2 linked regions of the Nothobranchius furzeri genome follow. The protein of the gene in region 2 purifies or fractionates together with the protein of the main gene of each other region. This does not show direct contact. Links are inferred from orthologs where the notes say so. Each region holds a gene or a part of one and is shown on either strand. Other genes may lie near its edges.

Region 1 (5,170 bases), on a different chromosome or scaffold from region 2:
GAGAAGCTGGTGGAGGTGGCTGGGGAGAGGACGGCCTGGAACTCCCTGGTTGAGATGCTGCCCCCGCGACCTGGACCCGGACAGGCGGGAGAAGACGACGAGACAAGAAGATCCCAAATGGTTTTCCTGATGACTAAAATCTGTTATAAATACTACCAAGCTTAGTTGGCCCACCCTGTCTGGAAACCAAAAATAAAAAATGCACTGATTAGTTTCTTTGGCCGATTCCAATTTGGGATTTTTCTGTTGCTGATTTTCATTTTGAAAGCTTATGATTTCTCACAACATACTCAAGTTTATCAAGTAGGTTGATTTGAAAACTATAAATAAACTCTGATGTGTTTTTACGAAACCGATTCTGCTTTCTGAAAGCTTTTCACTTTCTCACAAAGCGCGCCAAAAGGAAAGGAGTAATAGATTACTGAAAAACAAGTTTTCCACGTTAAGCTCAAATGAACAATAATAAGGTGCTAATTTAACAACAGTGCAACAGATGACTTCAACCACGGTGTGGTTCTGAGCAACCGGCCGCTGCGCTCCAACGAGGTGTTCCAGGTTCGCATCGACAAGATGGTGGACAAGTGGGCGGGCTCAATTGAGATTGGTGTCACCACACACAACCCCGCCTACCTTCAGCTGCCGTCCACCATGACAAACCTGCGCTCAGGTGAGAGAACAGCAGAGAACTTTGTTGGTTTGTCGTCTTTCTGAGGAGGTCTGATGTGTGGGAGGATGCTTTCCAGGGACGTGGATGATGACAGGAAACGGAGTGATGCACAACGGAACGACCATCCTGGACGAGTATGGACACAACCTGGATCGGCTCAAAGTAAGCAGGTTTTTGTTCGTTCAGCTTTCTGTAACTCACCAGTTTTGTTTTAATTCTCTTTTTCCCTTTGCTCTCAGGCAGGCGACACCGTCGGCGTTGTTCGGAAAGAAGACGGCAGCCTTCACTTCTTTGTGAATGGCGTGGCCCAGGGCCCGGCAGCATGGAACGTCCCGCCCAGCGTCTATGCCGTGGTGGACCTTTACGGCCAGGCGGCCCAGGCCACCATCATGGATGACATGGGTGAGGACCAGAGGGGGTGATACCGTATGACGTCACGTCTGTGATCCCTCTGACTGTCTGTCCTCTCTTGTCTCAGTGGACCTCCCCCCTCTGCCAGAGGACAGCTCAGAAGGCCCCACTGCCATGTCCCCAGGGAGCCCCTGCTCAGTGGTGGGGGCCACCACAACCAGCGACCTGCGCTTCCACCAGCTGCACGGCACCAATGCCGTCATCACCAACGGGGGGCGCACTGCGCTGCGTCAGAACTGCCGCAGCGAGTTCAACGATGCCATCGTCATCTCCAACAGGTAGAACAATCGATAACAGAGCAGTGATCCTGTACAGTAGCAGATATTCAGCGATGTTTTACTTCCAGAATCGTTATTTTGATGTTGATCGTTACTTTTTTAGGTATTTTGTTAATCGTGGCTCCAAATTCAGAAAGCGGAATCGGTCCCGCATGTGCTTGAATCGGTTCATTTCTACCTTTTTACCAACATTTTAAACCAAATTTAACTGAGATTTTTATGCACAAGTTGGTTATTTCTCTGCACAAACCCTGGTCTGTTAGACGAGAAAAGAATGGAGCTGACATACCTGGCGCTGCAGTCTGCTCCCAGCACGTTTCCTGCATTCCTTCATGAACACAGCTGATTTGTTTAATTTGGTGATGAACCACTGCTGTAGACACTAAGCAAGGCTGGGGAGACATTTCAGCTGTTAGATTAAGGTGTTCACAAGACGAACGCGCCGCAAGGAGATACGTTTTTGTTTTGGTTCTACAAACGGACACTAGGGGGTGCTAAAACCAAGCCAAAACTGCCCGGTCTCCCTTTAAATGGAATTACTTCAGGAGACGTGACCTCTGTGATTTTTCTTGGTTTTCCTCCAAACCGTTCCGCCAGTGGTCCGTTTTGAAGCTCAGGTATTGATGTCTGTAAACTTTCTGTTTCGTTCCGAGACACAGAAGTTAAGAACGCTGTACAAACGTTGATCAAGTTATTTTTCTACGGGTGTATTGAACAACATAAACCACTCTAATCTCTCAGACTGTGGCTTGTGTTCATTTTTCAGGTTCCTTCGGGACGGCGAGCTCTTTGAAATAGTTATCCAGAAGATGGTGGACCGCTGGTCTGGTTCAATAGAAGCAGGTGGGATGTTTTTCTGTTTTGTTGCCAAACTTCCACAGGTCAGCCTTCCATCATCATCATCAGGAGCCTTTTAGACCTTACGTCGGCGGCGTTTTGTCTCACCTCCTTCCCGTGTGCACAGGAGTGACCGCAATCAGGCCGGAGGAGCTGGAGTTTCCTAACACCATGACCGACATCGACTACGACACGTGGATGTTAAGGTGGCGCCTCTAAATAAACGTCCACTGAGATTTTGCTCATCTTGTGTTTGAGTCTGATCTGATTCTCTCCCCCCCCCCCCCAGTGGCACCGCCATCATGCAGGACGGCAACACGATGCGCAACAACTATGGCTGCGACCTGGACTCCCTTACAACGGGATCTCGGATCGGAATGATGCGCTCGGCGAGTGGTGACCTCCACTATTACATCAATGGCGTGGATCAGGGCATCGCCTGCTCTGGTCTGCCGTCAGGTAACGACCGACGGACCCCGACTAGTGGGGGTGATCGGCTGGGCTGAACAACAGCGTTTGCTTTTCTTTCAGAGGTGTACGCTGTGATCGATCTGTACGGCCAGTGTGTCCAAGTGTCCATCACCAGCTCCTCGGGACCACTGGACAACAGCCTCTGCACCAGCAACGTCACCGAGAAGAGCTTCCCCATCCACTCCCCAGGTGCACACCCACCAGTGTCCATCCCAGTTATTCCTGGAACCATCTCTTGACGTTTTTTTCTCCTTCTCTGTTTGCAGCTGCAGGCGTGGCCCATCACTTCCACAGTAGGCATGGTAAGAACGTGGTGCTGCTCGGCGAGGGCTGCCAGGCCATCAGAGTGGGCGGTTATGCTCACGGCATCGCCTTCAGTGCAAAGGAGCTCAGAGGAGACGAGCTGTTTGAGGTTTGCTGAAAATAATTCTCTCCAATCTCCGGAGCGTTCATATATTCACGACTATGTCTCCCTTGTTCTTCGCTCCTGATTTTTGCGGGTCGCGTCTTCCTGCAGGTGAGGGTCGATGAAGTGGATGAGCAGTGGTGCGGTTCGCTGCACATCGGGCTGACTACGCTAGCACCTCCGGAGCTTCCGTCCTGTCCTGTCTCCGGTCTTTCCCCTTCCCTCCCACAGCTTCGGACCAAGGTCACCTGGCTGCTCAGTGGCTCCGAGGTCCGCCGCAACGGTGCTCTGCAGCGCCAGAATTACGGCTATTCGCTGGAGCGACTGACGGTGAGCGGTAATGAGAGCTTGTGGTCAGACAAAAACCTCAGAGCTGAATTCTGTTCACCTGTTTCCAGGTGGGAAACCGTGTGGGTGTGAAAAGGTGCAATGATGACACCATGCACATCTTCGTGGATGGAGAGGACATGGGACCTGCTGCTACTGCTGTGCCTAAGGTACTCTCTCAGACGCTGCCTTCTGCTCCTTTTAGCATCAGATTCACGAAGCACTGAGTAATGAATGATGTTTTTCCTGACACGCCTGACCTCTTTTCTTACAAGGACCTTCTTTTCCTTTTTACCACCTTCTGTCTCTTTTCAGAATGTTTACGCAGTTTTGGACCTGTACGGACGGATAACAGCGGTCTCCATCGTCAGCTCCTCTCTGATGGAGGACTCTGAGAGCGTCAAGGCGCCGTCTCTCACCTCGGACAGCTGCAGCGAAGGGGAGGAGGACAGCAGCCCGGTCAGAGAGGTGAGGCACCATGCCCACGGGGAGTAGTAGTTCCAGGGTTTGATTACGGAGGATAACTCTTCTTGTTTTTCCAGGCCGAGAGCGAGTCGTGTTCTTCAGTGCCGACAATTATGACATTCCTTGAAAACCACGGCAAAAACATCCAACTGTCCAACCAGAGTCTGACAGCAGCCAGAGTATCGAGCTACAACCAGGGCCTGCTGGTCACCGCCCAGCCGCTGGCTCGTCAGCAGCTCTTCCAGGTTTCCATTCTGCTCTCATCTTTATTTTAACTTTAACAACAAATCTTTTATGGTGTCTCTGCCGGCATCAGTTTCAGATAGACCGTCTGAACCCGTCATGGACGTCGTCCCTGTCGTTGGGGGTGATCGGCCACTCCCCAGACCGACTCAACTTTCCCTCCACGGCGTGTTGCCTTAAGCGCTCTGCCTGGCTGCTGCAGCGAGACTCTGTCTTCCACAACTCCCTAAAGGTGAACACATGAATCTGACCTACTGTCCTATCTCTGACAAAAACCTCACAGATGATCTTATCTCCCCCCCCCCCCAGATATGTGAGAACTTCGGTCCTAACCTGGACACTTGTCCCGAGGGAACAGTGTTGGGTCTGCTGGTGGACACCAACAGTTGTCTCCACCTCTACGTGAACAGCATGGACCAGGGCGTGGCCGCGCAGGACATCCCCTCACCCTGCTACCCCTTCATAGACCTCTACGGCCAGTGTGAACAGGTGAATTAACATTTCATCCAGTGTCAAAGTTTATAAATTCCAATTGTGGAGATAGGCTTCTGTTTGGAGAAATGCAGAGCTAAAGGGCCAACGGCTAGTCCTGAAACCTGCAGCTCTGGGGCCACATCTGGAAGATCTGATGAGCAGCAGCATGGGTTTGGGGGACCAGAACCTATTTTCCCAAAAAATATATGTAAAAGAAAATACTTTTGATATTCTGATGAAATAAAAAGTAAAAGCTACTCAACGTTTAGTTGTCTAAATGTAGAAAAGGCGTAAGCAGCGAGGCCTTCAGATTTAGCTCCAACAGGAAAGATTCCTGTCAACAGTGCCGCGACGAAGGATTTTACCGTTTCAACCGTTTTCCGGGCCTCACTCGGCCTAGTTGTTAGCTCATCAATCCTATCGGATTTAAACCCTATGTCTCTAAACAGAGGCTACAACAGGTGAGATGTGATTATTCAGAGTTTTTTAAGAAAACAGTTTGCTAACACGTCCTTTCCTGCTGACAGGTAACCATAGTAACCAGCACAGTGGCAGCTGTGGGGGCAGAGGGCGGTGAGACTCGTTGTCAGG
Region 2 (5,784 bases):
GGGTGTCATCTTGCACAAACATAGTGACAAAAAGATTTTCACATTCGTAAAATAACAAAAAATGTCTGAAATGTTGGTTCTTTGCAGCTGTCCTGTCTCTGAGATCATATGAGATGATTTTCTGCAAAAGTACATGTTTTCAAACAAATGTATTGGAGATTTAGCAGTAATACCCTTATTTATGTGTCTTCTTTAGCCAATAATAGCTTATTTGAAACACATGTAAACACCAGTTGATGCAACAACAAAAAAAAAGCATTTATTGCAAACACATTAAAATTGAATTTAAGTACTTTTTACTGAACAGTTTTTAACCCTTTAGGCCCAAGGCCTTTTTTCTTTGGGCCCTGGCACCTCCCAGTTGGGGGCCTTTGGAGTTCCATGTCCCAAGTCCCCGAGCACAACTACAGCTACTATCAAAACTGTTTAGATTGTAAACAAAGTAATTTTTGGATTTTGATACATTAAGATAAAATAATACTTGAACTGTATGTTAGAAGAGCTGCCCTGTGTGAAAGTGCTGACAGGATGGAGGTTGTGAGTTCAAATTCCATTTAGGAAATGTTGTCAATTGTTTTATTTATTCCAGGGTCCTCAACTAAATGTGTTCAAGGGTTTTTTCCCAGCAGACACCAGAGAAGGTCAGATGCTCTTCTAAAATAAAGTTCAAAGATCGTTGTATCTTAATTTATTACCATTTAAAATGGCCTTGTTTCCCATCTGGGCTGTTTGATTGTGGTTTTAGTTGTGTTTGGAGAACGTGGACAGTTGTAGATGTTTGGGACATGAAACTGTAGAGGCACCCAATTGGGGGGCGTTAGGGTTAAACAGGCTAAGATACATTTAAATCTTTTTATAATTACTTTTTTAATTGACTTTCCAATTAATCTGTAACAACAATTTAACTGATGGAAAATGTGAAGCTGTTCTACTATCACAGTACAAAAGAAACAAGAATCAAATGTAAATTCACTAAGAGTCTTGTCTAAAAACAGACAATAACCAAGAAAATGGTTTCACTTCTCATCAACTGCCACTAGATGGAACTGTTAAGTCACAATTCTGTTTAAAGTGGTACAAGTTGAGAAATATGAACATAAGAATTAAAATATCATCTTTATGAATAAAAAAATCTTTTACATCCAAAAATGAATGACTAGAAATGACCACACCACAGCTATGAAACTTCTTTAAAATATTTCAATATAGTAAATTATAGGGATGTAAGAAAATATCGATATGACAATATATTGTGATATTTTTTCCTGCAATATTGTATCGATCTTTAAAAGCCACATGGAATTTACATGCAAACATTTGTGTATTTTCTTTTCTTTTGGTGCAATTCAAACGCCGACCACTAGGTAGCAGCAGTGTGCAATGGGTTTTGTTTCCACCATTGAAATATAAATCCCTTTCTCTATTCCACCTTCCTCAGGATGCACTGATTTCCCTCTTTCCTATTCACTCTCTCTCTCTTTCTTAACATTTTTTTTAATCACAATTGTCTATTTTTTGCTCATTTTAAATATATTTTTAACCATTTTCTAAATTATTTTTTATATTTTTACATTTTTTGTTTTTGTGAAGCGCCTCGTGATTTTTATCTTGAGAGGCGCTATAGAAATGATATTTTCTTCTTCTTTATAAGATACCTTATATTGAACATGTTACATTTCAGTTTGGACTGGACTGAGTTTCCCTACAATAAATTCTGTCAAAAAAAAATGCTAATATCATCTGGCTGAATGTATCACAATATATTGTGATATATCGAATTTGTCTCCCCTGTATCTTGATACGTATCGTATTATCAGAGTTTCACCAATACACATCCCTAGTAAATTATCAGATTACTTACTTCTTTTTTGTTTTCTTTTCACTGGAAGCTTCTCCTCCAGGTCTGTGATGTGGAAAAATCACAACATTATATATAGTTCAGTCACTATTGATAAAATCATTTGTTTGTATTTTTATGTATTTTAGTTAAACAAATTCAACTTCTATTTGAGATCATTTGAAACACTGTCAAAATTTAAGAATTATTTATAAATCTAATTTCACTGTAAAAACTGAGTTCTCAGTTATAATTATCATTTTTTGTGGGTTTATTTATGCACAGTTAGGCTGGGCGATCTAGCCTAAAATCAATATCACGATATATTGAGGATTTCACCTTGGTATGCGCAGAAACAAAAGTTGTCCATAAATGGGGCTGTCACATGTATTACGTTGAATCAAATTTTTAAGTCACTCAAGGTTGCACAGCTTCTTAAAGGGACATGGATTTTGCCAACCTACACACATCTTTTCATTTTTTTATTATCAAATTTAATGACATGGGAACATTTATCGATAAGAGTCAGAAATTTCAATAACGATACATTTTCGATTTATTGCCCAACCCTACATGAAGTCCAGGTGTAAATGACTTGTCCTTCAAACTGTCAGAGATGACTCACCCTGTGATGCTGAGAGGTTTGTTTTCTATCTCCTTCAGCTTCTTTTTCATTTCGGTTGTTCTTGACGGTCGGTGCAAATATTTCCGTTTCCCAGTGCACTCGTAAGTCCAGTGTCCCATCTCCAAGCACTTCTGACAACGCACATTTTGTTTGTTTGCCTCCCTGTAAGCAATAAAAATAAATAAATACCTTCCAAACAGGAAAAAATACATAAACTACAGAAGTAAGACATTTGCACATACATGTATTTGTTGTCAGATTACTTAAAATTAATAATGAATGGAACAAATGATTCCAGTATAAATTATGAAAAAAATGATGGCTGCCGTAGTTTAACTCCACCAGCAGGTGTCACTATAAGCAATGAATGATGCATCGAAGACGTGAACCTCTGGGCAAAGAAAATAGTTGAGAAGCTACACGAAGCTTTATGTAGCCATCTCATAATTAATACACTAGTAATGAATACTTCATTTTAAACTCAGAAACTCGCAGGTGTTCCACCAAAGAAACTGAAACCCCACCAATAATCACAAATTATCAAAACTCTGCCCAAGTCCCGATTCTTCTCAATACTTTGATCCGACTATTGGTTATAACTATATTGACATTAACATCGATGTAAACAAAATTATTTTTTACTTAAACTGGGGTATTATAAAAATAAATAACAGCTTCAGAAGAGTACAGTTTCACACAACGTAGCGCTTCGTAGAGCCGCGGGATGCCCGTCCCTCCAAGTTCGTTCTTTACAGGCTGAATGTAAAACTGTAGGTCAGCTATAGACCGCACGTGGTAACGTAACAAATGTAGACACAAAATATACTAAAATAATATTGCTACGCTAAGTTTAAAAATGTTTTACTCACGCTTGTCTTCTCGCTATTATTCTATGCATGGGAGTCGCCATGTTTGAAGTCTCTTCTTCGTTGGTGTCAGCTCAGGGCCTATTTCCGGAAATGTAAAGGAGTGAAAAGAATACGTAACCACCCGTGTCGTCGCCATTTTGGATGGGTCTCTTCATTCTCCGAAGGCAATGCAGAGTACGCAACTATGCCCGTTTTTGTGCATCCCACGGTTACAACAACCCGCGTACAATTGTAAATAGATCATGTGGGATTACTATAGTGACTTTTCTAGCCTACCTGATAGGATTTTAGATTTGTATTTGTTTATTTATTTTGTTTAATTACACTGACAGACACACTGACAGAGGCAGACTCGCCTCTGGTAGTGTGCCGAATGGAGACTAAGATGGCAGCCGGCCACTTCGGCAGCTCCAATAGGCAGCGCCATCCCATGAGGTGTCTACGTATTTACTCTTTGTATGGGGTGACACTGGCACAGGAGTTAAGTGCTCGTCCCATAATCGGAAGGTTGCAGGTTCAAGCCCCACTCAGTCTGTCGCTGTTGTTGTGTCCATGGGCAAGATACTTAACCCCCCTTGCTTGCTGATGGTGGTCGGATGGACCAGTAGCGCCAGCGCTCGACAGCCTCGCCTCTGTCAGTGTACCCCAGGGCAGCTGTGGCTAGAATGTAGCTCATCGACCAGACCAGGGTGAGCATGACTGTGTTGTAAAGCACTGTTACGTCCCCGACAGGAGGTGTTAAAATGTGAAGGAAGGGGAACACAAGAAACATGATAGTGGGTTTAAAATGGGTTTAATTGTTATAAAAGGTTCTAAAAACAAGTGCAAACAGATGGTGAGCATTGTTTAAAAAATGCCAAACAAAAAAAAAACTCTCAAAAAGGTTAACACTAAAAGACCAATTACCAACATTAAAAACACCTGGTTAAAACTTATATTAAAAGTTTTACTGAACAGAAAGTGTTTCCAAAATCTTCAAGTTGATAGTAAAATCTGACACACTAGAAAAACACTGAGTGTTTTAAAATCCCAAAGTCAGTAAACTACAACGTTAACCTTAAAACCAAGTCAACCAAGTTGACATCAAACAAAGATCCCTTTGGATCACTCAGAGTTAAAACTATTAAAATTAAGACTCATCAAAATGAAGGGGTTGAAACCAAAATGAGGCATGAATAACAGCTTAGCCCCTGCACTGCTGCCTCCCAGACTGCTGAAGGCACGGCCTTTTTATCCCAGGTGTAGGTCACCAGATGATTTAGCTCAGCTGTGCTCCTCAGCAGCCTGGAAGAAAGGAGGAAGAGGGGCGGTGCCTGGCTGATCACCGAGGCTGGGTGATCCTGGCTCCTGCACCTGAAGAGGCCAGGCTGGTGGCCACAACAAGCTCCTTGGGAGGTTCCAGGACTCTAGAAGGTGCTATGTCAAATACAGGCCATTTACCATTTTACTTTGGTGCCTGTCACTATTTAACAGGCACTCAACCCGTTAGAGAATGCTCGACTTTCAATTTGTTTAAAGGCAAATGTTAAAAACTGGTTATGGACAAATCAAGTGTGTGATCATGTACGAGTTGTATAGTTTTGATGTTTTATTTGTGAATAGAATGGCGTAGGTTTGGTGATGGAGTTTTGATTATGAATGAATGATGAATTTTCATGAATCATTATGTCTTTTTATGTCTAAGGACAACAGATGGAAATTAGCCTTTGGCTATAATCTGGCATGTTTACATTCATGTAAGCTGCATTTACATTTATGTTCATTAACATGCACTGTCCTAAATAAATAAATAAAGAGCACTTTTCCTGGTATGTGTGGGGGGTGTCTGCTCTGTTTCCTCGATCCTCAGTGAGTCGTGGCGGATGGCAATTCCTACTGAGCCAGGATCCTCTGGAAGTTTTTCTTGTTAAAAGGGAGTTTTCCACTGTCGCTACTTGCTTAGTATGAGGATTGCTGTAAAGTCACTGACACCAGTCAGTGACTCCATGCAATTTGCTAGGTTCCTTATATAGGAAACTTTTTACTGATTGGCTTAATGAACTGAACCGCTTTAGAATGTTTACTTTGTGAAGTGCCTTGAGACGACTCTTCTTGTAATTTGATGCCATATAAATAAACTGAATTAAACACAATTTAATTGACTTCATCATTTAGGACTTGGTCCTGATGATGGATCTACAGATGTTCTTTGGTGACTCTTATTTACATGCGTGCAGACATGATGCTGGTGTGATGCTGGCACGATGCACACACAGCGTTATGTAACTGATCACATGAGTCAATGGTGTTTCATGTTGAGTCATAGATGGAGACAGGGTTTAAATGTGAAGCAAAATGTTTTATCCATGAGTGCTGAAATATTGTAATTTGAGTCTACATCTGGCCTACAGAGTCACCAAGGCAACATCTGGTGCAACACCCATGAAAGAGATACAGGCTGGGTAAGTTGTTGT

What was found. The genes of interacting proteins can lie anywhere in the genome.
Region 1: the proteins of zcchc10 (region 2) and neurl4 purify together in Homo sapiens (co-immunoprecipitation; 3 studies listed by BioGRID and IntAct, with this or other methods). This does not show direct contact. The link is inferred for Nothobranchius furzeri from reciprocal best matches to the Homo sapiens genes ZCCHC10 and NEURL4.

Annotation. Positions count from the first base shown.
Region 1 is NC_091742.1:53,444,849-53,450,018, forward strand, and holds part of neurl4 (neuralized-like protein 4), read left to right. Parts: intron 1-485; coding exon 486-667; intron 668-743; coding exon 744-829; intron 830-906; coding exon 907-1,069; intron 1,070-1,145; coding exon 1,146-1,356; intron 1,357-2,122; coding exon 2,123-2,199; intron 2,200-2,320; coding exon 2,321-2,399; intron 2,400-2,482; coding exon 2,483-2,652; intron 2,653-2,724; coding exon 2,725-2,853; intron 2,854-2,930; coding exon 2,931-3,076; intron 3,077-3,181; coding exon 3,182-3,400; intron 3,401-3,468; coding exon 3,469-3,567; intron 3,568-3,712; coding exon 3,713-3,865; intron 3,866-3,939; coding exon 3,940-4,107; intron 4,108-4,178; coding exon 4,179-4,337; intron 4,338-4,414; coding exon 4,415-4,594; intron 4,595-5,106; coding exon 5,107-5,170. UniProt on the Homo sapiens protein: Promotes CCP110 ubiquitination and proteasome-dependent degradation. By counteracting accumulation of CP110, maintains normal centriolar homeostasis and preventing formation of ectopic microtubular organizing centers.
Region 2 is NC_091750.1:56,825,581-56,831,364, reverse strand, and holds the start of zcchc10 (zinc finger CCHC domain-containing protein 10), read right to left. Parts: upstream 3,458-5,784; 5' UTR 3,373-3,457; coding exon 3,332-3,372; intron 2,625-3,331; coding exon 2,463-2,624; intron 1,904-2,462; coding exon 1,862-1,903; intron 1-1,861.